Coturnix japonica: one gene and its partner. The protein of the gene in region 2 interacts with the protein of the main gene of each other region in a biochemical or structural test. Links are inferred from orthologs where the notes say so. Each region holds a gene or a part of one and is shown on either strand. Other genes may lie near its edges.

The links.
Region 1: the proteins of TMPO (region 2) and LMNB1 form a complex in vitro, tested with the Homo sapiens proteins (2 studies listed by BioGRID). The link is inferred for Coturnix japonica from reciprocal best matches to the Homo sapiens genes TMPO and LMNB1.

Annotation. Positions count from the first base shown.
Region 1 is NC_029547.1:50,121,123-50,133,375, reverse strand, and holds part of LMNB1 (lamin-B1), read right to left. Parts: intron 6,883-12,253; coding exon 6,726-6,882; intron 5,534-6,725; coding exon 5,408-5,533; intron 2,713-5,407; coding exon 2,542-2,712; intron 1,266-2,541; coding exon 1,140-1,265; intron 1-1,139. UniProt on the Homo sapiens protein: Lamins are intermediate filament proteins that assemble into a filamentous meshwork, and which constitute the major components of the nuclear lamina, a fibrous layer on the nucleoplasmic side of the inner nuclear membrane.
Region 2 is NC_029516.1:42,485,455-42,496,626, reverse strand, and holds the end of TMPO (thymopoietin), read right to left. Parts: intron 9,522-11,172; coding exon 9,402-9,521; intron 9,303-9,401; coding exon 9,207-9,302; intron 8,655-9,206; coding exon 8,544-8,654; intron 7,713-8,543; coding exon 7,623-7,712; intron 7,542-7,622; coding exon 7,476-7,541; intron 7,335-7,475; coding exon 7,240-7,334; intron 5,588-7,239; coding exon 5,296-5,587; 3' UTR 3,752-5,295; downstream 1-3,751. Other genes in the region: SLC25A3 (phosphate carrier protein, mitochondrial), read right to left, coding at 2,648-2,795. UniProt on the Homo sapiens protein: May help direct the assembly of the nuclear lamina and thereby help maintain the structural organization of the nuclear envelope. Possible receptor for attachment of lamin filaments to the inner nuclear membrane.

The DNA of each region.
Region 1 (12,253 bases), on a different chromosome or scaffold from region 2:
TGAAATTCCACAAGTCTACTGTACAGTAGTATTACAATTCAAAATGCACAACTAATCAGAGGAAGGATCAAAACTAAAAATTACTAATTATTTGTATATTGGAACAAAATACAAAGTCTTTGTTGTATCTAACTGCTAAGTAAGGTTATATAATGAGCTTCAGTAACAAGTATTAATATCTGTCTAGCTTTTCACTCCATATTTTCCAGCACACAGGACTATTCTGATCAAGTAAACTAGCACTGAATATGTAACTTGTCATAGGTTGTGTCACACTTTCATAAGTATGATCTGTATACTGTGACCTGACACCACATCCATTTAGTTTCAGCTCTACAAACCTCTAGTAACTTGATGCATTTCTACTTCTAATTTCATCCCGATCCTGGCACGACCATTCAATTTCATCATTTTTAAATAGCTCTATATGATAGCTGTATCAAATGTGGAAGAAGATACCAAGCAAACTGCTTGTTTCAGCTCTGGCTTGGAATCCTGCCTTGCTGAATACCACACTAAAGCATTCAGATACTGAAGAAAAGAACTAAACTGTTTAGAAAGACAAGAATATTCAGCTTGTACAACAGCCCAGAGAAAGGGATCAGAGTGTTCTGGCTGATGGCAAGTTGAACATGAGCCAGCAGTGTGCCCTGGCAGCCCAAAGGGCCAGCCATACCCTGGGGTGCATCAGGCCCAGTGCTGACACCAGGAAAAGGGAAGGACTTCCCCTTCTGCTCTGTATGGCCTCACCTCCAGCACTGCATGCAGATTTAGGCACCACAATACAAGAAGAACATGAAGCAATCAGGGGTGTCGAAAAGAGGGCAACAGAGATAGAGAAGGGTCTGGAAGGCAAGGTGTGTGAGGATTAGCTGTGGTCAATTGGTTTGTCTGGTTCAAAGCTCCCTCCATGTCTGGGGGGGCCTCTTGGCAGCCTACATCTTTCAAATCCTCTGTAGCACAAAAGTTCAACTTTGCCAAAAAAGACATTATGAAAGTAAGTTCATACAGAGCAACAAAACAGAAAACAAATTTAAAACACAAAGATGAACATACTTAAAAAGTAAGGGAAAGAGTGAAGTCTTCTACATTAAGAAAATCAACAATTAAGACTGAATAGACATAAAAAAACTTGTTACCTCTTTCTGAATATCAGCAATATGGGAAGACAGTGCTTCGATTCGCATACGACTTTCATGAAGTTCTTCTTTTACTTTGTTGGCTGTACAACTGTGCATCTCAGATGACTGTCTAATATTTTCAAGCTGAAATAGATCAGACATCAACTTAAAAGTACCCTTAACTAAAAGAAAAAACCCATCTTCAAGCAAAACCATATACAACACTAAGATGCAAAAGTTCCTCTCTCTAGCTCTAATACATAATAAAACATCTCTCACTTCAGGTGTTAAATGTGGTCATTCAATTAACATGTTGGACTGCTCTCACTAATAACCACAACCCTCCAAATATTTATTCTAGGATTAACTCAACTCATTAGAAGTTTCCCTTGAAGACATTACTAAAGCTGGAATACTAAGTTCAGTTTTGACTCAAAAAAACAAACAACAGTATGTATTTAAATGCTGTTTGAGTATGTTTGAAGAGACACTAAACTGAAATTACCAATTTTCTACAAAAGCAAGTAAACAACTGATGCTGATTATCAGACAACATGAGCACATTAGTTACATGCCTTAAGATTACATGTACCAGTGCCATGTGTCACAGCTTCTTCATTTTAATTTATTACATTGAGTTCAAGTAATTTTGTCTTTAAACTGATTAAAACATCCAAAAGGAACTCTCAATTAGAAAGATTTTTCAGATTGTAGGAAGATTTTTACTAGATCTTATTTCCTTACATTTTTTTCTCTAGTTTTTCCAAGTCAGACTGAAGCCCTGAAGATAAGCAACTACACAGTTCTCCAGCTTTGCTTTTAAAAATACTGAATGCAGTTCTGAAAAACACTAACTGCAATAAGAAACCACAGGAACCAGGTTGAGTTGAGACATCAGCATCCTTCCTTATAAAAATGCTGAACAACAGCAGAGGAAGGAAATGATGAAGTACAACTGACTTCAGTTTGAGTAGGATTTCACCCTTCTATGGATGCAGAAATGACTGGGTGTGGTCAAGGTCTCCACACAAGAACTTGGACATAGAGTCTAAGAACTTGGGGTGCTGTCTTCTCAGCAAGCCACACTACAGATTAAGCTTTACACAAGATATGAAACACAATGCTTATTATTGAGATTGTTCTATAACACTTATAAACACAACTTTCCTTGAATTTAAAGTAATCTCAGTACAAATCTTCTTCCACATTCACACAGTGCTTTCTGTACTTCTTTTGTGCTGTTTAAGTTTTAACTGTCTCCAAAAATGAGAACTAAAAATGCAGATTTACCTTCAAAAACATCTTGATTTTATACCAAATGCCAAAATGAAATCCTCTGAAATCTAATTGTTAGGATATCCCTCCGTTACACAAAGCAAAACAAAGTAAATCAGACAACTGTATGAAAGAACATTCTCACTTTGCTACTGTAAGTCTGTTCAAGCTCCTCTTTGTACAGTTTCACTTGTGCATCATGCTGCTCTCTTATTTCCTTTAGTGCTTGGGCCAGTTTATACTCATATTCTATTTGACGTCCAGAATCAACTTCAACTAAGCGAGTTTCATGTTTTCTTTTCGTCTCCTTGATTTCCTAAGAAAAAAATAAATTAAAAAAAATAATAAAATCACCATTCAATAAACAAGGAAAAGTAAGTTTTAGAATCTGACTACCCAATGAGTAGGTAATAATAGAAGTTTCAGGAAGTCTTGCGAGTATTTATTGAAGAAGTTGAGGGCTTCACACTAGGTATGAAGGGGAAAGGGATTAAAGCTAGACTCGCTAGTGATGAGCCCGGGAGAATGATATCAGGGTTTGGAGTGAAGCCAACAGCTCAGCTGAAGTACAGCTACACCAATGCATACAGCACAGGCAACAAACAGGAAAAGCTAGAAGCAATGTATGTATGCATTGTATGGCAAGCAAACTATGATTTAGTTGCCATTACAGAAACATGGTGAGATCACTCACATAAATGGACGATTATGAACTCTTTGGAAGTGACAGGCAAACAAGGCGGGGATGGTGGTGTGGGTCTCAGTATTTAAGAGTGTTTTGATGCTGTAAAGCTTGGGGCTGGGAATGCTAAGATCAAGACCCTATGGGTGGGCATCAAATGAAAGGCCAGGAAGGCTCACATCTTAGTGGGGGCCTGTTACCTAACATCCTAACCAGGATGAAGAGACAGACAAGGCATTCTACAAGCAACTGCCAGAAGTCACACAATCACCAGCCCTTGTTCTAGCAGGGGACTTCAACTTCCCTGATATACGCAGGAAATGCAACACAGCCCAGAGGAAGTAATCTAGAATGGAATGCATGGAAGATAATAGCCTGATACTGCTGGAGCCTGCCAAAGGTGCTGTGCTAGACCTGCTGTTCACAAACCAAGGAGGACTGGTGGGAGATGCGTTGACTGGGAGTTGTCTTGTGCAGAATGGCCATGAAATCACAAGATTTCTTTGTTCTTGGTGAAGTCAGGAGCAGAGGGTCAGCAAAACTGCTATCCTGGTCTTCTGGAGGGCAGATTTTGAGCTGCTTGGGACATTGGTAGAGAGGATCCCTTGGGAGTCAGTCCCGAAGGATAAAGGTGTCCAGGAAGGCTGGACATTCCTCAAGAAGTCTTAAAGGCACAGCAGTAGGCTATTCCCCTGTGCCACAAGACAAGCAAGCAGAAAAAACAATCAGCATAGCTTAACGGGGAACTTCTACTGAGATTCTGGGAGAAAAAAAGTTTACCTCCTGTAGAAGAAGGGACAGGCAACTCAGGGAAAATACAAAGAAGCTGCTAGGATACACAGTAAGAATATTAGAAAGGCAGAAGCCCAGTATGGGTTCAACCTTGCCACTCTAGCAGGCAACAACAACAAAAAATTATTTTACAAATATATTATCAGTAACAGGAAGATGAAGGACAACCTCTGTCCTCCACTGAATGTGGCAGGGAACACAACAAGTAAGGGTAAGGAAAAAGATGACTTTCTCAATGCCTTCTTTACATTTGTTCTCAACACTCAGACCAGTTATCCTTGGGGCACTCAGCCTCCTGGCTTGGAAGCCTGGGATGTGGAGTAGAAAAATGCCCCAGCAATTCAGGTGAGAACGATTAGAGACCTACTGCTCTATCTGGACTGTCTAAGTCCACAGGCCCAGATGGGATCCACTTAAGGGTGCTGAGAGAGCTGGCAGAGGTGGTTGCCAAGCTGGTTCCATAAACTATTAGGGTTCCTGGTCAAGTCCCAGAGGACTGGAGGCTGTTGATGTAGTCTGCCTAGACTTCAGCAAAGCCTCTGACACCAGTTCCCCACAGTATTCTCTTGGAGAAGCTGGCAATCCCATGGCTTGGACTGACACACTTTTTCTGGGTTATAAACCGGCTGAAGGGTCAGGTCCAGATGGTGGTGGTGACTGGAGTTAAAACCAGTTGCCATCCAGTCAACAGTGGTGTTCCCCAGGTGACAGTACTGGAGTCTGTCCTGTTTAATACCTTTAATGATTATTTGGACAAGGGAATTGAGTGCACTCACAGTAAGTTTGCAGATGCCACTAAGGAGCGGGGAAGTATTCATCTACCTGAGGGTAGGAAGGCCCTACAGAGGGATCTAGACAGGCTGGATCACCAGGCTGAGGCCAAAGGGATGAATTTCAACAAGACCAAGAACTGGGTCCTGAACTTCAATCACAACCCCAGACAACTCCTCAGTCCTGGGGCAGAGTTACCTGCAAGGCTGTGCAGAGGAAAAGGATCTGTGGGGTGTTGGTCAGTACTCATCTAAACACAAGCCAGCAGTATGCCCAGGTGGCCAAGAAGGCCAACAACATCCTGGCTCATATCAGTAGTGTAGCCAGCAGTACTAGGGAGATGATCACCCCCCTGTTCTTAACACTGATGAGGCCACAGCTTGGGTACCACATTCAGTGCCTGGCCTCTCACTACAAGATAAAGGCCATGGAGTGTATCCAGAAAAGGACAATGAAGCCAGTGCTGAAGGACGTCCTATGAGTAACAGCTGAGGAAATCAAGATTGTTTAGTCTGGAGAAGAGGAGGCTCATGGGAGACCTTATCACTCTATGACCTGAAAGGAGGTTGAGGCAAGGTGACATGACACACAAAGCTATTTCATCATTTATGAGAGTTCTGATTTCTTATTTGCCTGTAATAAAAAGATGAAAACCTACCAGATACAAGTAAATTCTACTCAGAATGGGAGTTCATAAAGTTATTATTTCAGAATGACCCTTCACTTATCTTCTGTCCTTCAAGAATACAAAAAAAAAAAAATTTACCTCCTCATACATATTCTTACGGAATTCCAAATCCTCAATGAGGCTCTGACAACGATTTTCAAGATCCACCTTCTGTAAAGTTTCATCTGCAAGCTCTTTCTTGGCTGCAGCTAAAGAAACCTTGAGCTTTAGGAAAAAACACAGAAGTTGAGCACAACAATTATGCATCAAAACTCACATAACACAAATACCTCATCTGCCCACAGGTACATTAACTAGATATTAAGATTGAGGTTGACAACCTAATTTGGTATCTAAAAGCAATGATTTTTTGTCTCCTTTGTGATTGCTTGCACAAGTGAATTATAGATTATACATACAGATAAAATTCTTGTTAATGATAGTTATTAAATGTTCTAACAAGCCTTCATTTTTTCTACTTGGTAGAGAACAACTTCTTGGTTCCAGATTTCTCCTAGACTCATTTAAGGTATTTTTTTGTTGGTTTTGGTTTTCTTTTTGCTTAAAATCACAGTTAAGGTACTTCAGAGGGCCAACAAAACTGTAAGTTTTTTTGTTTTATTTTATACTTGCTATCAGATGTCCTGAAGACAGAGTGCCACAGACAGAACTAAAAGAAATGCACAGAGAATCACAAACTTAAACATAGGAAACACTTTTAAGTTCCAGCCATTCCAACTCAACTACTTTCAGGAAGTATCTTCAGGAAAAATCAAATGCGCTCAGTACATCTGTCATTACCCACTATGAAAGACAACTACAGCCATTCTCCAGCCATCTCTCATTGCGTCACCAATTTTTAATTTTTTTTTTTTTTTAATTTATTTTACTAAATAATTATTCCAAGACTCCCTAAGGAATCTTCCTTGCTGCAATTTAAATCTATCAGTTTTTGGTTGATTTTGACTGACACGAACAACTGACTGTAGCAGTCCTTTAAGTGAAGGCTACAACTCTGCTCTCTGCAGTCAGTCCAAGGTCCATTGTACTTTCCAGATTCTTTCTGGAAAAGCAGTACTGATCAGTTACTCATCATCTATATTAATGACCACAGTCACTCCCTAGAAATAGTTCTCCAATTTTTAAGTCTATTTTGAACGCTTGATCTGTTCATCCACAGAAGTATGATCCTTTATATTTCACATAGCCTGACATTTTAATAGCGCTCTACTATTATGCTACTAATTATAATTATGCTACTAATACACTGAACCATACTGAACATATACTTATTCAATACTTTCTTGAACTCTGACAGCAAAATTTAAGTCCTAGATTTACATTTACGTTTTGGCTACAAAGCAGCATTTTACCACAATGACATGCAGTTCCATAGTCAAGTATTTCTTCTTCTCACCTGTGCAATTTGATCCCTTAAATCCTCAAGCTCTTCTTCCTGACTTCTCTTATCACCAAGAGCTGTGGCCAGTGCAGCTTCTTTAGCATTCAGCGCTGCTTCAAACTCTCGAAGCTTGACTTGAGCTGCATTAAGATCAGAATCCTTTTTTGCATAGCTGGAATAAAACAGGGAAAGCAAGAGGAAGTATAGAAATGGCCCAAAGAAGGGTGCTGACCAGAAGAACAAATTGCAATCTAAACACTTATTTAAATTACTTTAGTTTAAACAAACTACTTAGTTCTGTTCTCTTATACTACACAGCAATAGCTTTGTACTTCACTTGAACTGTAGAAACCTTATTATATGGGAAACTGAATGTCAAGGGATTTTATAAGTGATGTATAAATGGAAAGTGGAAACTGTTTTATAAAAGTTGTGTTTTGTTTTCTCCTTCACAAGCCACTCTAAAATGTCCTATCCTCAGAGTTCCAATAGGTAGAAATAACACCCTTTTCATACAGTGGAAACAATCTCTGCAGCTCATTTTACTTGCGCAGGAACTTGTGCAGATCTACAGTCCAGCCTGCAAACAGCCCTCTTTCAACTAACAGACTAGCTTCTTAATGAAAATTAAAGTTCACTATGTGTAAGCCAACACTCCATGAACAGTAGCTGTAGTATAGCAAGTTATTTTGCAGCACCCTTCTAATTACACGTAATGGCTAAATTCCACAGGTCAGAGCAAAGATACCCAAATATTTTTAACATAATAGCCTGCCATCAACAAAACTGCACTGGTGATAAGGTACAAGTGCCTTATTTTTAAAAAGTGGCCAATGTTGTTTTCAAGTTATTGTTCAAGCTAGCTTTCAGGTCTATATAGGTGTGCAAATGGATTTATTCTCTAAGGTATATGCAAACAAGGCAATCAAATGAGAAAAATAAAATAATTCTAAAAGTTGGATTATTTCCTCTCCAGGATATCCATATTTCTCAGGTGAAGGAAGCAGCACACAGGAATTCTAAATATTTATAGTCAGCCATCACTCATCCTAGAGGAACAAATAGATTAGGACAACAGCTAGCAGACTTCAGTTTCCACATTTTCTTGGAAGAAAAAACAAAAACAAAGATGCTTAATAACTAGATCCTAAGGGCTAGAGCATGAATTCAGCCCGTACTTCTCAAACTGAAGTACTGCACTTACAAGCATCAACAGCAAAGCTTCTCAGTAAAATGAGACAAGCATCAAATCATCATACAATTTTGAAGAGGAGAAGCTTAAATTTAAGTGGCTTTTCCAAGATAACATGCAATGCAATTAATATCAATTTCCAAGAGAAAAGGGTATGCACAAGACTTATCAAGAAGTTGTATGAATTATTTTGGAGACAATTTAAGCCACACAACCACCAGATGGCAGGCTTTATGTAACAGTCTTAGCCTTAAGCCACCTCCTCTGAATGACAGAACACATACTGATGCAGTACACAGCATAACAAGCACTGGCTATTCTGAAATCAAACCTGTTTTCAAGCATTTATTAACATTTCTGCTGCTCAGTGCTATCCACTTGCTCAATTAGGTTTCACATATGACTGCTTAGACCCAACAGTTGGGTTCACCTACCAACCGCAGAAAATAATTTAGGTTTAGGCCACATGGATTCCCTACTTCCAAGCTCCCTTTGTTACTCACCAGAGGCCCACAGCTCTGTCCCTTCCACTCCTACTCAGGCCTGCTAGAAATTCACTGTACAAGAAAACCCATATGGCACTGGAGGTAAAAAAAAATAAAAATAAACCAACAAAAAACCAAAACAGGAGAAGTATCATCCCACGATGGTATGAATACAGCGGAAACCTCTGCATTATCTACTAAGACTGATGAGGGCCTATATCAAGCCTTCACTGCCTGACCATCACTGGTTAATACTTTGCTCACAACATGCAGAAACTGCTTCACACAGACTCTCACAAAGCTGAAATCAAGCCTGTCAAGTTGGATCCTAAAGCTACAAGTCTGGCCCTCAAAGTGGGTCACCTATACAGCAGTGCAATCCCACCTGTATTAACCCAGACTCTAAGACAAGAAGATTCTCACTGTGACCAAGGTCACAGAAGGGAAGGACAGAATTGAAGTGCTATTAGTTAATACTGTCATGAGTTGCTTCATAATCAAAGAGCTCATCTAAATATATTCTCAGGAAGAGAACAAATAAGAGCTAAACACTTCAAATGCTGAAAGCCAGACTAAATCTCATCACTCCATTGGTGTCTTCCCAGCCCTAAAGGAATACACAGAAGAAGGGCAACAAGATCAGAAAAACCTCTAAACATCACACATATACCTCACACACCTTTTTCCACCACAAAAAGCTGAAGCTGCATTTCAAAGCAACAATAAGAAAGCCCAACCCCCAAGTACGTTCTCACTGCCATGTTCAGCAATTACCTAGAACTGTACTCCAAGTAGTTTCACTCCTGAAAGCAATAAAAGCAAATAATTAATTTCTAGCTTGCCTCTTCAAAGAAGAAACTTGCTTTTCTCTTCGGACTTTGAAGTGAATGTATCTTTTCATCTAAGGAATTACAATTTATTTCAAAATAAGCCAGAACCAAGATCTGACCAAAGCCAAGCCAGTTCCTCTTTATTTTCTTAGGATTTCAGGGAGAACTGGTGTTTCAGAAACGTAACCCACATCATTTAACTCAGACACACACTGCAGGGAGACTCTCAACTGGTATTACCTGTCTGCTCTCACTAATAGAAGCTGTAGCCAGTAATGCTTTAGATAAGGCCTTGCACAAACTGCCATTCACAAAGTAATGCCCCCTATTTATTTCCTTGAAACCTACAACACATAAAAAGATCACAATATCACTATTTGATAGAATCAGTGTAAACACTTTTAACATAGCAACCACTATTAGCTAGTCATAAACAGAAGCCTGCATTGCCACGCTTATAACAATCCACAGCAGCAGAGGTGACCCACTGGTGCGGTTGCTACTGCTGAAAGGCACCACCCACCTCACTGTGCTCACAGACACTGGCCTCCAAAAACATTCAGCCAGAGTCAATGAGGGTGACATTTTTTCTCCACAAAGGAATGTAATGCCTCACCTTTGCTTTATTCACACTTCCATGTCAGACACCATTGTGTCAAACTGCCCCTCTGTTTCCACTGGTCATATATAATAGGATATTGGTGGGAAGGTCCAACCTCTACTGCCATACCACCAACATCAGCTTCCATTGTAGGCCACAGTGCCACTCTGAGGAGTGCTGGTAACTCAGTCAGCTGCAGACATATGCCCTGTTCACATTCACTCAAAGTTCTCAGACCCACAGCATTGTAACCAAGACACAGCATTTTAGATAGCTCAGTTTGCTCACCATTCCCATCGCACACTTTGTAAAACAGAATGAACAAACACAATTCTAAGGTACCATGGTTGTGTCTGGTTACCTGTGGCAGCCCATTTAAAACTAACAGAAAGCTCCTGAAATGTCACTGGTGCTACCACTGCTCCAGTGCATTATCTACAGAATTTAAGAGTGCATTTCAGAGAAACAGACGTGCCACTGAGTCTCAGGGAAAGAGGAAGGATCCCTTTTCATGTTCTTGCAACCACCCTTCCTCTTTCGTAAACTCTGAAGTTCATGAAACATCCTAAACTTTCCTGCAATTTCCTTGAATTTCTTACTAAGCTAGCTGAAAAGCTACCTAAGAAACAAAAATATTTTCATACCAGTTTATATTCCCCAGCATCCAATAAACCACACATCTAAAGCAGAAAAAAGTCAGAATCACCAAGGTTGGAAAAGACCCACGGGATCACCCAGTCCAACCATCAACCAATCACCAATAGTTCTCACTAGACCATGCCCCTTAACACAACGTATAAATGTTCCTTGAACACCTCCAGGGTTGGTAACTCCACCACCTCCTTGGGCAGCCCATTCCAGTGCTTAAGCAGAAGCAGTGAGACCATCACTTTCAAGGAGCAGCTAGACCTCAAGCTGAGCCTGGACACAACTCCAAGTTCCAAGTGCAAGATGCCAGCCACCTAGGGAAAACGCCTTTCTTGTCTCCCAACATGCACCCACTCATTCCTGACAGTATTTGGACAGCCACAGAGTTAAGAGCTGCCAGCAGTAATCTCAAAAAACATTCATTTATCAGCCAATTCTTGAAACAACTATGCAAGCGTAATTAATTATAAAGTAGCTCAAAGCTACATCTATGTAAAGTTACATGGTACCATACATTGTGCCAGCACTGCGCTCAAGTTGAGGGGTGTGTGTGTGTGGAGAAACAAATCTAGTCACTGAATGCTAGTTAAACAAGACATCAAGCAATGCTTTCCTATGTTTCTTCCCTTAAGGCAGAGAATATAATGAAGTTGTATTTCACAAGAATACAATTCATAAAAACAGAAAAGGTATCTGTCTGGAAGCACTGATGATTATTATGTATTCGTATCAGCATGACAATAAACAACACCGGTTAAGCTCACCACTTATATAGATTAATATATGTAACTTGGTTCTAACTTCTTATTTCATCAACTTTATACAGTTGGAAATGGTGAATCTTTGAAATTATGGCTAAACATATCACCACCCCCATCACTCAGCCCTCTTTCTGAAGAGCTCAGTTGACCATATGAATTCAAGAATGATAACCATCAGTTTTAGAACAGCCTTTGCGTTATGTACATCAAACCACTGCTCAAAATTAATTATTTTTACAGGTTTTAAAAAGAAGAGTACAAGTATAAGCACTTATGGTTCAGGGAAGTCTGATGTGTTTCCATATCTGTCTCATTATTAGATAACTGAAGATGCAGACACCTGTGATCAGTTGATTGTGTCCATTACAGTGGTGGTATCATGGCTGCAGTGACTCCTTTGCCTCATTTACTTAAACACATCATAATCTTGACCAAACAAATCTTAAAATGGCAGTAAAGAGTTCACAGAAATTCAAAATGAGGAGAGCACAGCTCCAAAATGCCACCACATTGAATTTTACATAAAAACACCACATTATAAACAGCCTGTTTATTCAGTGGAAGCAGTAGCACTCACAAAATTTCTGCAGAACATACTGAATGAGTTTGTTTAATAAGATCCCATGGAAAATTAAAAAAACCCAAAGAAAAACCAACACAAAACAATATCAGGTGTCAAAACTCCAAAAAGAGATGAAGAATAAGCTGCATAGAGTTGTCTAAACCAGGGTGGGAACATACATACAGCAGGCACGTGATAAAATAACATTCTCATAACTTGACTATATTTGGCAGCAGTACATCTCACACTTCATAACTAGCTGGAATTTGTCACTACAGTTTAACCCCCAAATTTATTGCTTCAAGTTACACATAGTAGACACATCAAGTAGACACATCACTGTAGGATGATCCTACCCAGCATGGATGACATGCTCTTAAATCATTCTTACATATCCCTTGTTTAAACTACAGTGCAACAAGTTAATTACTCCCCTCCTTACTTCCTTGGGATGCCATCTGTAG
Region 2 (11,172 bases):
CAACTGGGACTCAAGGCTGCAGCATCTATCAAGGAAACAAGCAAAGGAAGCATTTATTATTTTAGAGACTAAACTTCTTTTAAGCCCCTCCAACCTAAGGGAATTAAATACTATGTCTTAAAGTCTCTCACACTAATACTGATGGTGAAGACCACACAGATCTATCAGATAAAAACTGAATGCTTTTTTTCCTTTATATGATATTTTTTCAGGTATTTTTCAGATCCTTCATGTAGATGAGTTTTTCTTTCGAATGCAGAATTTGAGATTTAAACAGCTTCTGTTAAAGGAAATTTCTTAATTTTATTAGGTTTAATAACACTAATAGAAAAGGTTAAACAAAGAAACTTCTGGACCTTATGCCATCAATAGATATTCAACTAGAACTGCTCCATATAGAACTCTGCATGAAATCATCATGTTTTAAATACATTTCTTCATGCACATGAACAGAAGTTCCCAATTATGCTCATCACCATCAGTTAATCACCCATTAGCACTGACAGGTTCAGCCAGCTCGTAACTTCTCTATTGTAAAAGAGCTTCCCCAAAACATTCCAGATTTTTCATCACGTTTACCTCTCAAATTGCTCTTCAAAATTAACCATGAATAAAAAAGTCATTTCCTCTTTATTCTTAAATAACACCGCATTAATAATCACAGATAAAATATTAGGCTGAAACTTAAAGACAGGAACCAATTAACAATCAGAATAATGTATAACCTAAGAGATTTTTTAAACTGAGATACTGCCCAAATCTGTACATACATTAGTCCAGAACTTGCACATACCTCTAAATACAATGGTTAAGCTGTCTGCCTTCCAGATGGCATTAATAGTTTGTTTAAAACTCATCAAAATGATTGGTTACACACAAATGAAGTTTTCTATGCAGTGTAATCAGAGAAGACTCCAGGTCTGAATTAGGGCGGTTGTCTAACCACATCTTCGGCCCTCAGCAACAGTACTGTACTTCCCATGCTGCCAAGATACCTCAACTGCCTTTTTGTATTACCTTTTCCACCCTCATTTAATGTTAAAAAAAAAAATTACACTCCTCAGTAAGGCAGAGCATTGTAGAGGCCAAAGGGAAGCAGAACTTTAAATATCTCCTTTATTACAATGACATTCAGTCTGATTGGTTCAAAAGCAGAGAAAACCAAGCCACTATAAGGCTGGCTTACACTCTTTCTGTGTATGTATATTTACAGCAGCAGAGCAATGTTAGGAAAAGACAACCATAGTAGATACCTTATTTTCTGTTTCAGAGTGTAACCAAGTCTCCTTAAAAACTGTTACCTGAGGAAAGAATGAGCTAACATCGCAGCAGAGGAAATTACAGGAAAGACATACTCATGTACCTAGGCACTGACTTATAACAAACGCCCTAAAGCTACTCAAATATAAATACACAGCACAAAGACACGTCTACACTCTTAAGTGAAATAACCCTGGCTGTAATATAGCTGTTGTCTTTATTTTAGATCTGAGCCATTAACAAGGACAAATTCCAATAGCTGCGTTATGGTTGATGCCCTGAGCTGAACTTGAAAGGTCTTGTGGGTTCTGCTAATGACTTTGTGTGACCTTGTATAAGCTCAGATATCTTCTGTTACTCTCACAGAACAAAAGGGTAACAATTAATAACTGAAACAATGAAAACGCAGAACAAATAAAGAAACATATATATCATCTCTGATTTTATCTACCTACAAAATGGATAAAGATTCAACATAATGCTTTCAAGAAATAAGCGCTCATACAGGATATATTTAGCATGCTGAATGGTGATTTAGGGCTTTATTTAGCTAGGAGCAAAGTTACCACTACTGAAAGCCAACGTTTGTTCTTTTAAATTCAATGAAACCCAACACTCAGTTCTGTCATTTTCAAGTGCTACGTGGAAGTTCACACAACAGCACTAACAGACTTCAGTAATTACAGGGCTTTAGAACAGAAATCCTATCAAGAACCTTTTATAGGATTGAATTTTTAATAAAAGCAGGCAAACATTTTCCTATAGGCAGCATATAGGAACATGAGTTTTCACATCTACTTCCACTACCGGTAGGTCTGACCTTTGGAAGTCACAGCAGTGATTAGGTAACACACAGGAAGGTCTCGGCCTTAAATCTAAGGAGCATCACTGTGTCTTTTCACAGCATTCTTATGCACCTCTATCTATTGAAGCACTAAGGAGAAAAATCAAATAAAACAATACAGAATAGCTGCAGGCTATTCAACATTCGTGTATGTCCAGATAGAAATAAAACACACACACACATACAAAAAAAGGATGCTTTAGACGCATATATGTTCGGGGGTCTTCTCCGCAGTCAGAAGCACGGGCCTACAGGCTCAGACGAGCCCGAAGCAGCGATCCGGCAGCCCCAGGGCAGCCATCAGCGGGGCCTACACCACGGCTGCGATCCGGGACCTTCTCGCGTCCTTCGCCGCTCGGCGCGATCCGCCGTGGAGCGGAAGGGGCCGCCAGCGCCTCCCCCTCGCGTGCCCTTCCTCGTCCTCCAAGCGGCCGCGCGTAGGCCCGGCGCCGGCCCGTCCCCGCCCGCGTCCCGCAGCGACCGCTCCCCGTCCCAACGGGCACAGGCCCGATCCCGCACCGTGACCTTCCGTCCCTCTCTCACCTTCGGAGGCGGACGCTGCCGCCAGGCTCCGCCGCGTGGTGGGCGCCTCGGCCGGCTCCGCGCGCTTCCTCAGCCCATCCTGACACAGCTGGAAGTGAGGCGCGTAGAAAGGGTTGAGCCGCGCGAGCGGCGCGATGGACGAGAACATGGCGACCTGAGGCGGGCGACAAGAGCGGAATGGGGCGGCGAGGCCTCGCTCAGGCAGGGCCCGGCGGTCCCGTACCCGGCGGTCCCGTACCCGGCACGGGCTCGGCGGCCCAGCCGCACACCGGGCCCTGCCGGCCGGGCGCCCCGACTCACCTCCTAAGATGGCGGCAGGCGCGCAGCGCTGCTCAGCCCGCAGAGGCTGGCACGGGGCACGGCGCACAGACTTTGTCCTTCGCCTACGCGAGGGGCGGAGCCGCCAGACAAGAAGCCGCGAGACGGTTGGATGAAGAGCCCCGCGAACCGGCGCCGCCGCGCATGCGTGATCCACGCCAACGCCCTTCCCCCTCCCCCACAGCGGGGAGGAAGGGCGGGGTGTCACTGAGGGGACGGCAAGGAGCATGGGCCGCAATTGTTAGGCTTGCTATTAACTTCAATAACATCTAATTACTGGTAGTTGTATCTATAATTGGACACATAACCAGTACTAATACTTGAAATTAGTCTGTAGAACAGCCTGGCACTTGGCTTTAGCTGACAATTAACTTCTAACCTCTGCGCTGTTAACAAGGCAGAGTCTAACATCCCAGTGGAAGTACAGGAATAACTTACATTTCTGCTAAATGCCTTTAAGTTATGCAGAAAATCCCTTCAGCTTCTCCCAGACATGGAATAAAACAGCAATAGCCTGCAATTACATGGAGTGAATCCGATTCCTGGCCCACAATAGGCAGCAATAGGAAACAGCCTTTCATGACTATGCTTTGGACCATTATGGCTATTCTCCCTTATCACCTATTGATACGAACCACTCTAGTTTTACTACCAGAATAATCCACTTTCATAAACACGAAATAACACAGCAGCACAGAACACAAGCACTGACACACAGGTCATCTTTCTTTTGCTTTCTTCTTTCCAGCAATGCATTTATTTCGATAAGGAAAAAAAAAAATCCACACACATTAAAATCATTTTTATTTTTCTGCATTTTGACACCAAAAAAAGTGAATGTCACGTGTTACAATTTGCTATAGGATGGACATAAGTTCAGCTATTTGGATTACTCGGAAAGCGGATAAAAGGAAAAAAAAACAAACAAACATTAAACCTTAACAGAAGAAACCTATAGTTTTGCTACAAATTACCATCTTTGTCCCAGAGGTCACAGAAAGTAACGTTCTCCCGTAGCTAATCTACACAGTAATTGTACCTATAGTAAAAATAGACCATTAACTAAAGTTCTCAGCTTTTCATAAGTAGCACTTCAAGAATAAGTATGATTTTATTGCATTTTTGTACGAAGCAATGAGACCGAACGTCTGGATGCTGCAGGTTTAAGCGCGTCAAAATGAATACATTCAATTTAAGAGTTGTTGCTTATCACTGCTCATCGGTAGTAGTGAAGTCAGCTGCCTGCTCAACTAAGTTACACAATATTGAGTGTTTTCGCATGCTTCCACTGAGAAAAATACTCAACTGCATGAATGTAGTAAATCTCACCTCAGAAGATGAAATTGGAGAAGAAAATGCAGCAATGCCCTCTTCATATAAGAATAAAAACTTCATATGGAATCTTCACACTTTGAGAATACCTCTCTACACGAATATTCAAAGATAATCACAAAGCTGTGATGGAGAGACCTCACATTAAGAAAAAAGACCACTGCTAAAAGTTGGATTTTTAGACTACCTTAGATAACAACTTTTACCCCAAAAAAGTATTTAGTAGCAAATTATATTTGATGCAAATTTTATTTTCCACGCATATTACTAATAAATAAGTGCCTCTAAAACATCCGTGGCCAATTTATATTGAACTCCTACGACACTGTAAGCACTGAAATGAAGTGATACATTTAAATGTTACACTTAAACAGTTACTAACATGATACTAAGACTCTTACAGAAATGCAAACAAGTTTACAGTTACATTTACTAAAAAGTTACAGTAACCTACAGAAAAGGCTGTTGTACTCTCCCTATATCCTAAGAGATCCAATTCAGTTAATTTGTTACTGATAAATGCATACAAAAATGCATCTCCCTCATTCACCTGTTATAAAATCATCTCCCCTTCATCATCTATCAAGATCTACCAAGACAAAAGTACAACTTCTTTCCTGTACAATGAAAAAAGCTTTAAAAACACAGCTTCACATTTTAGTACATTTTTGCCCTTCTCAGCTTCCAAGATCCCGCAAAAACAAATATACAGTTTCTCATAAATGAATTTAAATGATGTCCACATTAAAAAAATAAAGCCTACAAAAGTTCAAAGACCTAAAATAAAAACACCAAGTGTTACTCCTATGGCAAAGTGGTCTACTAGTCCAAAGTCCAGAAAGTTACCAGTGTCCATTTATTAGTTTGCTTCATTTATCCAATTGATCAGGTTCCAATCACATTATTTTTAAGTAGTCCTTGAGCCAATGAGAGGGCAGGAGAGTTCTCTATAATTAAAAACAGGAGATCAAAATGGGGTGTGCCTTTCAGAAAGACACTCATTTGGCACCGTCCTGAGAGAACATATGCAGATACTTAGCGAAAGGATTTCTCTGATTAGTTTCCATAGACTGATAAACTGAAAACAAGAAGACTGAAACAAGAACAAAGAGAAGAATTTTTATCCACAGGGGAACGGAGCGTTCTTTTTTCGTCGAAGGTTTCTCAGACTTGATGTCACTGGAGGTACTGTATTTTGGAGCATACTTATAGAAACTTTCATCCAGTTTGAAGTCAGTGTGCTCGATAGGCCGGCTAGCAGCTCCTTTGATTGGTCTACGGCAGCTAGCACTGTTAATTAGAAAACAAAAGCACCCATGTGTTTAAAAAAACCATCTAAAGTACACAAGAAAATTTTAGCATAACTGAAGAACTATAAATTACTTCCAGTGAACAGAGTACCTGAAAACACAGAATCACAGAATGACCCGGGTTGGAAGGGACCTCAAGGATCATGTAGTTCCAACCCCCCTGCCTGGCTAGGGCACCTATATACATAACACCTTACTAGATCAGGTGCACAGGGCCCCGCTCCCGTCGCGATGGAGAGGCCTGTCTTGAAAGGCAACGATTGTCTTCCAAAGGACGGGGCATCCACACACCTCCCTGGGCAGCCTGTCCAGGACCTAATACCACTCCCCTAGGTAAAGAACTCCCCCTGACATCCAACCTAAATCTTCCCTCTTTTAACTTAAAACCATTTCCCCTAGTCCTGCTATTGTCAGCCCTTTCAAAGAGTTTACTCCCCTCCTGGGTGTAGGTTCCCTTCAGGTATTGAAAGGCTGCAATGAGGTCACCCCGCAACCTTCTCTTCTCCAGGCTGAACAAACCCAACTCCCTCAGCCTGTTCTCAAATGCCTGTCTATAAGTGCTTTAGCATGTACCATTACAATTGTTGAGGTTAACTGTTCAGAGTTCAAATAAATATCCCTTTAAAAAACAAAACACTCAAGTGCCATTTTATGTCGGCCTACCCACATACTCCCATTACAACAAGAAATAAAATGCCAGGAAGCATCTGCACCTGTATCTTAACTGATCAGTTTTGCAGTCTTTCCAGGACCTCTAAACTTAGGATTGCCTCAGGCCATTAAAACATCACTGATGTCCAAATCAGTGCAAAGAGCAAAGTGATGAGGCAGTAAGGATTAAGAAACCACTGCAAGAATCTATTATTACTAACCTATCTGAATTAAGTCTCACCCAAACTATTTTTCTTAGAAATTACACTGCATTTTCTTTGTTTCATTTTACTATCCATTGCTCTGTCATCTTTTGCTTCCTAATGAACTTAGGAAGATTTCCAATGCAGCAATGACTCCACAGCCCCCACTCAATTTCAGATATCAGTATGCAGTAGCAGCCAATATTTCCAAAAGGGGGAGTCAGCTCTGTCAACTGCTTAGTTATCCAGAGAGCTATTTCAGTTTTTTGTTCAAGTACTGAGTTTGCAATATTAGTCCTTCTATTCACAATGCCAGCTTTATTCACACAAAGAGTGATGCTTGACCACAAAGGATCATTTACATAACAGAAAAAGACTTGGAAAATTACTTTTCGCTTTCAAAAAGAAGTCTCAAATCTATGCTGGGAGACCTTCTCTTAACTAACAGCAGGGGCTAAAACAGTTGTATCTAGCCATAGTAGGAGCCACAGAGTGGCCTCTTCCATTTAACCTCCAACAAGTTGCTACAGTAGTTACTGCTATAATGCTACCTTATTATTCCCCTGCTTCCCTCACTTTAAGTGAAGAAAAGGCTTTTTTGGCTAATAAAACTATGTATGCAGAACAGAAGAGCTCAACAGTTGTCTCAACTGCCACTAAGTCAGAATTGCAAAACTGCTCCTCAGAAATCTAGCAATATTAATCAACAGACCCTTTTCAGCTTAAATAGTTCTTAAGAAATGAGAAACAGCCCCCCCCACCTAAGCCACAGCAATACCTAATTCCTGTAGGTGTTGATACTTCATAAGGGAACATTTCCTTAAGAATATCCCTTTCTACTCTTCGTTCTTCTGTAGGAGTTCTCTCTGGCACCTAGAAAAACAAAAACCATTATAAGCTTAACAAACCTCATAATAGCAGGCTCCCACTTAACTATCTCAGTGTCCAAAACCATGTGCAGTTTGTAAGGAAGCATCTGAGCCACCCAGTGACATTTAAGAACTTTTAGTTAACCTTAATTATTGGACGCTGTCTGGCCACGTATGGTGTCTTAATGTATTCACTGCTCTCCTCAGTTTCCTTTAAGATAAAGAATGTGTCATAAATACAATACATCTGCGAGCCAATGATCTAGATGATGGAAAAAACTTAACCAATCACCTCTATCATGGCTGTGTTGAGCACATCACAGGATTGTTGGCGGCCAACGTGATTAGACAAGAATTGGTGTGGGTAATCTGTCTCTTTTCGCTGTAACAGACAATGTCATAGTACAGTGAAATACTATGCAGTTTGAAATAAAACATCAACTTTTCCCACAACCTTCTTATTTGACAATTAAGCCTAAACTGCAGTCGTTCTTACTATAAACAAAGGAAGTAGCCTTTTTCATAAATCTCAGATCCATTGGTAGAGCAGGCTTCACAAGCGTTAATACAAGTTTTACGTACAATGTCTACATGGATCAATTAACTCCATTTAAATTCAGCCAAGTATTATTTTGTAATGTAACATTCAACAGTAATCCAGTACTACATTAACAACTACAATCACATGCTCTCAAGTGCTTTTAGACATGTATCCAAATAATCTCAACAGCTTGAATAGGCTAACAGAGTATAAGAACAGTTTTCTTACTTGACAGCTAATAGAAACCTACAGTTGCTTTCTAAACTTTGACTTTGGATTTCAAGTAGTCCTACCACTGCAGTCCTTCAGTTGAGGCATTTCCCCGCCCAGGATATGCTGACTTAGCTAGATAATGCCACTCTTTGAACTATTCATGTAGTTTAAAAGAAAAAAGTACATTCTGTACAACATAAGATGAAATAATAGTCCAAAAGAGGATTATTTCCACCTTACAAAAACAAGGAAGGATAAGAAAAATAAAATAAAATAAAATAAAAATATGCATATATATATATACTCTTTTTGATGTCATATGACAACGCTAGTTTAGTTACAAGATCATGCCTCCTGGGCAACAAGACCCTCCACCCCTTCTATACTACAGAATAAATCCATACACATAAGAACCTTCTTCAAAGAAAGTAAGCAATAACAATCTAAGTTTTAATTTACTTCAGCTGTCATCAGTGGTTTCTTTGGTGTTCTTCTGGGCATGTCTGTGGGTTCACTTATTGACAATGTAGGAGCTGCATGCTTGAAATTTCCAGGCACCCTATTGCCAACCTGCCGAGATTCAAAATTGTTCAAACTCAGAATTAACCAAAACACAAAGTAAAATGGGGAAGGGAGACAAAACTAAGCAACATAACCCTTATCTGCATCAAATATGTGCATGTTAGTAATTCACTGAAAGTTATGTAACAGATACTCTGAAATAAGTAAAGGAAATACAATGCTTAGTCTAAATAGTTTATTTTAAGCCACTTAGAAACATAGAAGCTAATTAGTTCACAAGAAAAGCAAAGCTCTAAAGCAGATATTCTATATGTACTTAATTTAAGAAGAGATCTAAGCTTTTGAAGCAGATCTTCTCAGCCCTCCCCCCAAAAACATGAAACCATGTGTCTACCTAGTCCCATCTCAAAGTGAGCACCACTAGGCGCTAATATGCTATTGAACATATGGTTTCAAGACTACTGAATAAAAGAAGTCCTACTTTCTTTAAAAACAGCCTGTTTAAAACAATTCTGTCAGTAAAGACATATTATAAAAGGTATATTACAGAAAAAATACTACTTGTATTATTCATTAAATATATTTACTAAGCATATTTACTAGGCTCTCGTTGCTTGCAGTCAATATAGTTTCATCTATGGGAGTACTCTCTGACATAACAGCATCATCTACAGGCAACTGTACTGTAGCTTCCACCTGTTTGTTTAAAACAAAAGAAAACAGTTGAATAAAATAGCCACTGGGACCCTAATAGTGAAAAAAAATGCTTTTCTATTATAATAAGCCTCTCATCACCCTTTTCCTTGGTGTTCTTCTTGACACTCTTGTAGACTCCCTAGTAAATGCCTGAAGAGGTCCACTTTTTGAAGATCCACTTGTCCAGACAGTCTCAGTAACTCCATCTTGAGAATAAGTCTATTCAAGTATCAAACACATGATCAAATACATGAAAGCCAGTTCTCAACATTGGCTGCACACAACCAAAATAGCATATGTACTCCAGAACAAATATATCCAGAACTAAAAACAAAACAACCCCACACCAAAAACAAACAAAAGAAACCCAGCAACCTTAGATTCAGTAACATCCAACTAGCTACACAGGCACCGAAGACCTCAATACCTAGGTTAGAATTAACTGTTTTTTTAAATACTGAACCAACTAGATAATACCTAACAGTAAAAACTGATAACCTTCTCACTGTATGAAATAACCAATGCTTCAAGTAGTACTGCCAAATCAGACAGTGGATATGCTGACTTCTAGGCTTGTTACATTACATCCCTACAAAAAGAAGAAAACTTGTGATCACAAGCAGAATGCAACAACCTGCCCAACTCACAAACCTATTCTCTCCTGCAGAGAGTTCAGGCATAGACACCTGCACATCAACAAGATCTCATGTCCAGACAGAGGGAGATGTTTTTATAATCTTAGAAGTTTCCACAGTGATAAATGTCACTCACTTCTCCCTTAATTGTAGGTTAAAATGACCCAGCTTAAGACAGTTCATAGTAAACCCAAGTAATAGTGAAGTGTCAGACTTTCACAGCCAGTAGTAAATACACATCAATCCCCATAGCCTTACTGCAAGTTTTATGCTTAAATTAAAATCTTCCTCAAATCTAATTCCAAGCATAAATCTAGAAGGAAAGGGAGATGAGGGACATCCTGCTTCTTCTAAAATAGACCTAAGATTTTGTTTGTTTAATTAAGAACAATCAGAAAAATCCCTTGCTGATAACGAAGTCTATGTATCTCTTCCACTGGTGCATTATCAAACTTTTGAAAGCTATATTTGGTGTTGGCGGGAGTTAAACAGACCAGCACAGCAAATTAACTTCACTGGAAGAATTAGCCCACAAAACAATGTATTCAGAGAATAGGCTGAAGTGTACTTACCAAGGGGTAGAAAAGTACAACACCACCCTTCTCAGTTTCCCAACTGTATCTTTGAAGTTACTTTAGTGAAACTAGAAACTGAGCAGCTTTATAATTTTTAACTGAATTATTACAGCTACTACATAACCAGTAGAGGGAGCACAAGTGTTTTGCTATGCTTCAAAGTCACTGAGAGACTGATAACTGAACGATATATTTTTCGGAACAGATCTCAAGTCCAAATAGATTCAGATATTTCATACAGATCTATATATTTCAGCCTATGCCTCTGATACTCTTTCAAATTTAAACCGACTTTTGATTAAAGGTCTCCTTAGTCCCAATCTAGACATTCACTAGATACTAGCTTCTCACATCCCCCATTAAGAAAGGCCTAATCTGCAACATTCAGTCATGTCACTTACTATTTGAGGGTTCTTCCTCAGAAACTTTAGGGAAAAAAAATAGTAATCTCAGAGAAGTTCAACTCAAATTCAATTCAAGAATGCAACAAGACAAGCTCCAGAGGGAGCTCTCCATTATTAGTTTTACTAGGAACTTTTTTTTCCTAAAGAAATCTTCAGTAAATAAGAACCTATGTGCTGAGTTCCTCAGATGGTTGAAAGTTATGTCTTAAGTACCAGGGAAATCTTGCATGAAAAATACAGGAAATGACTGAGTGTA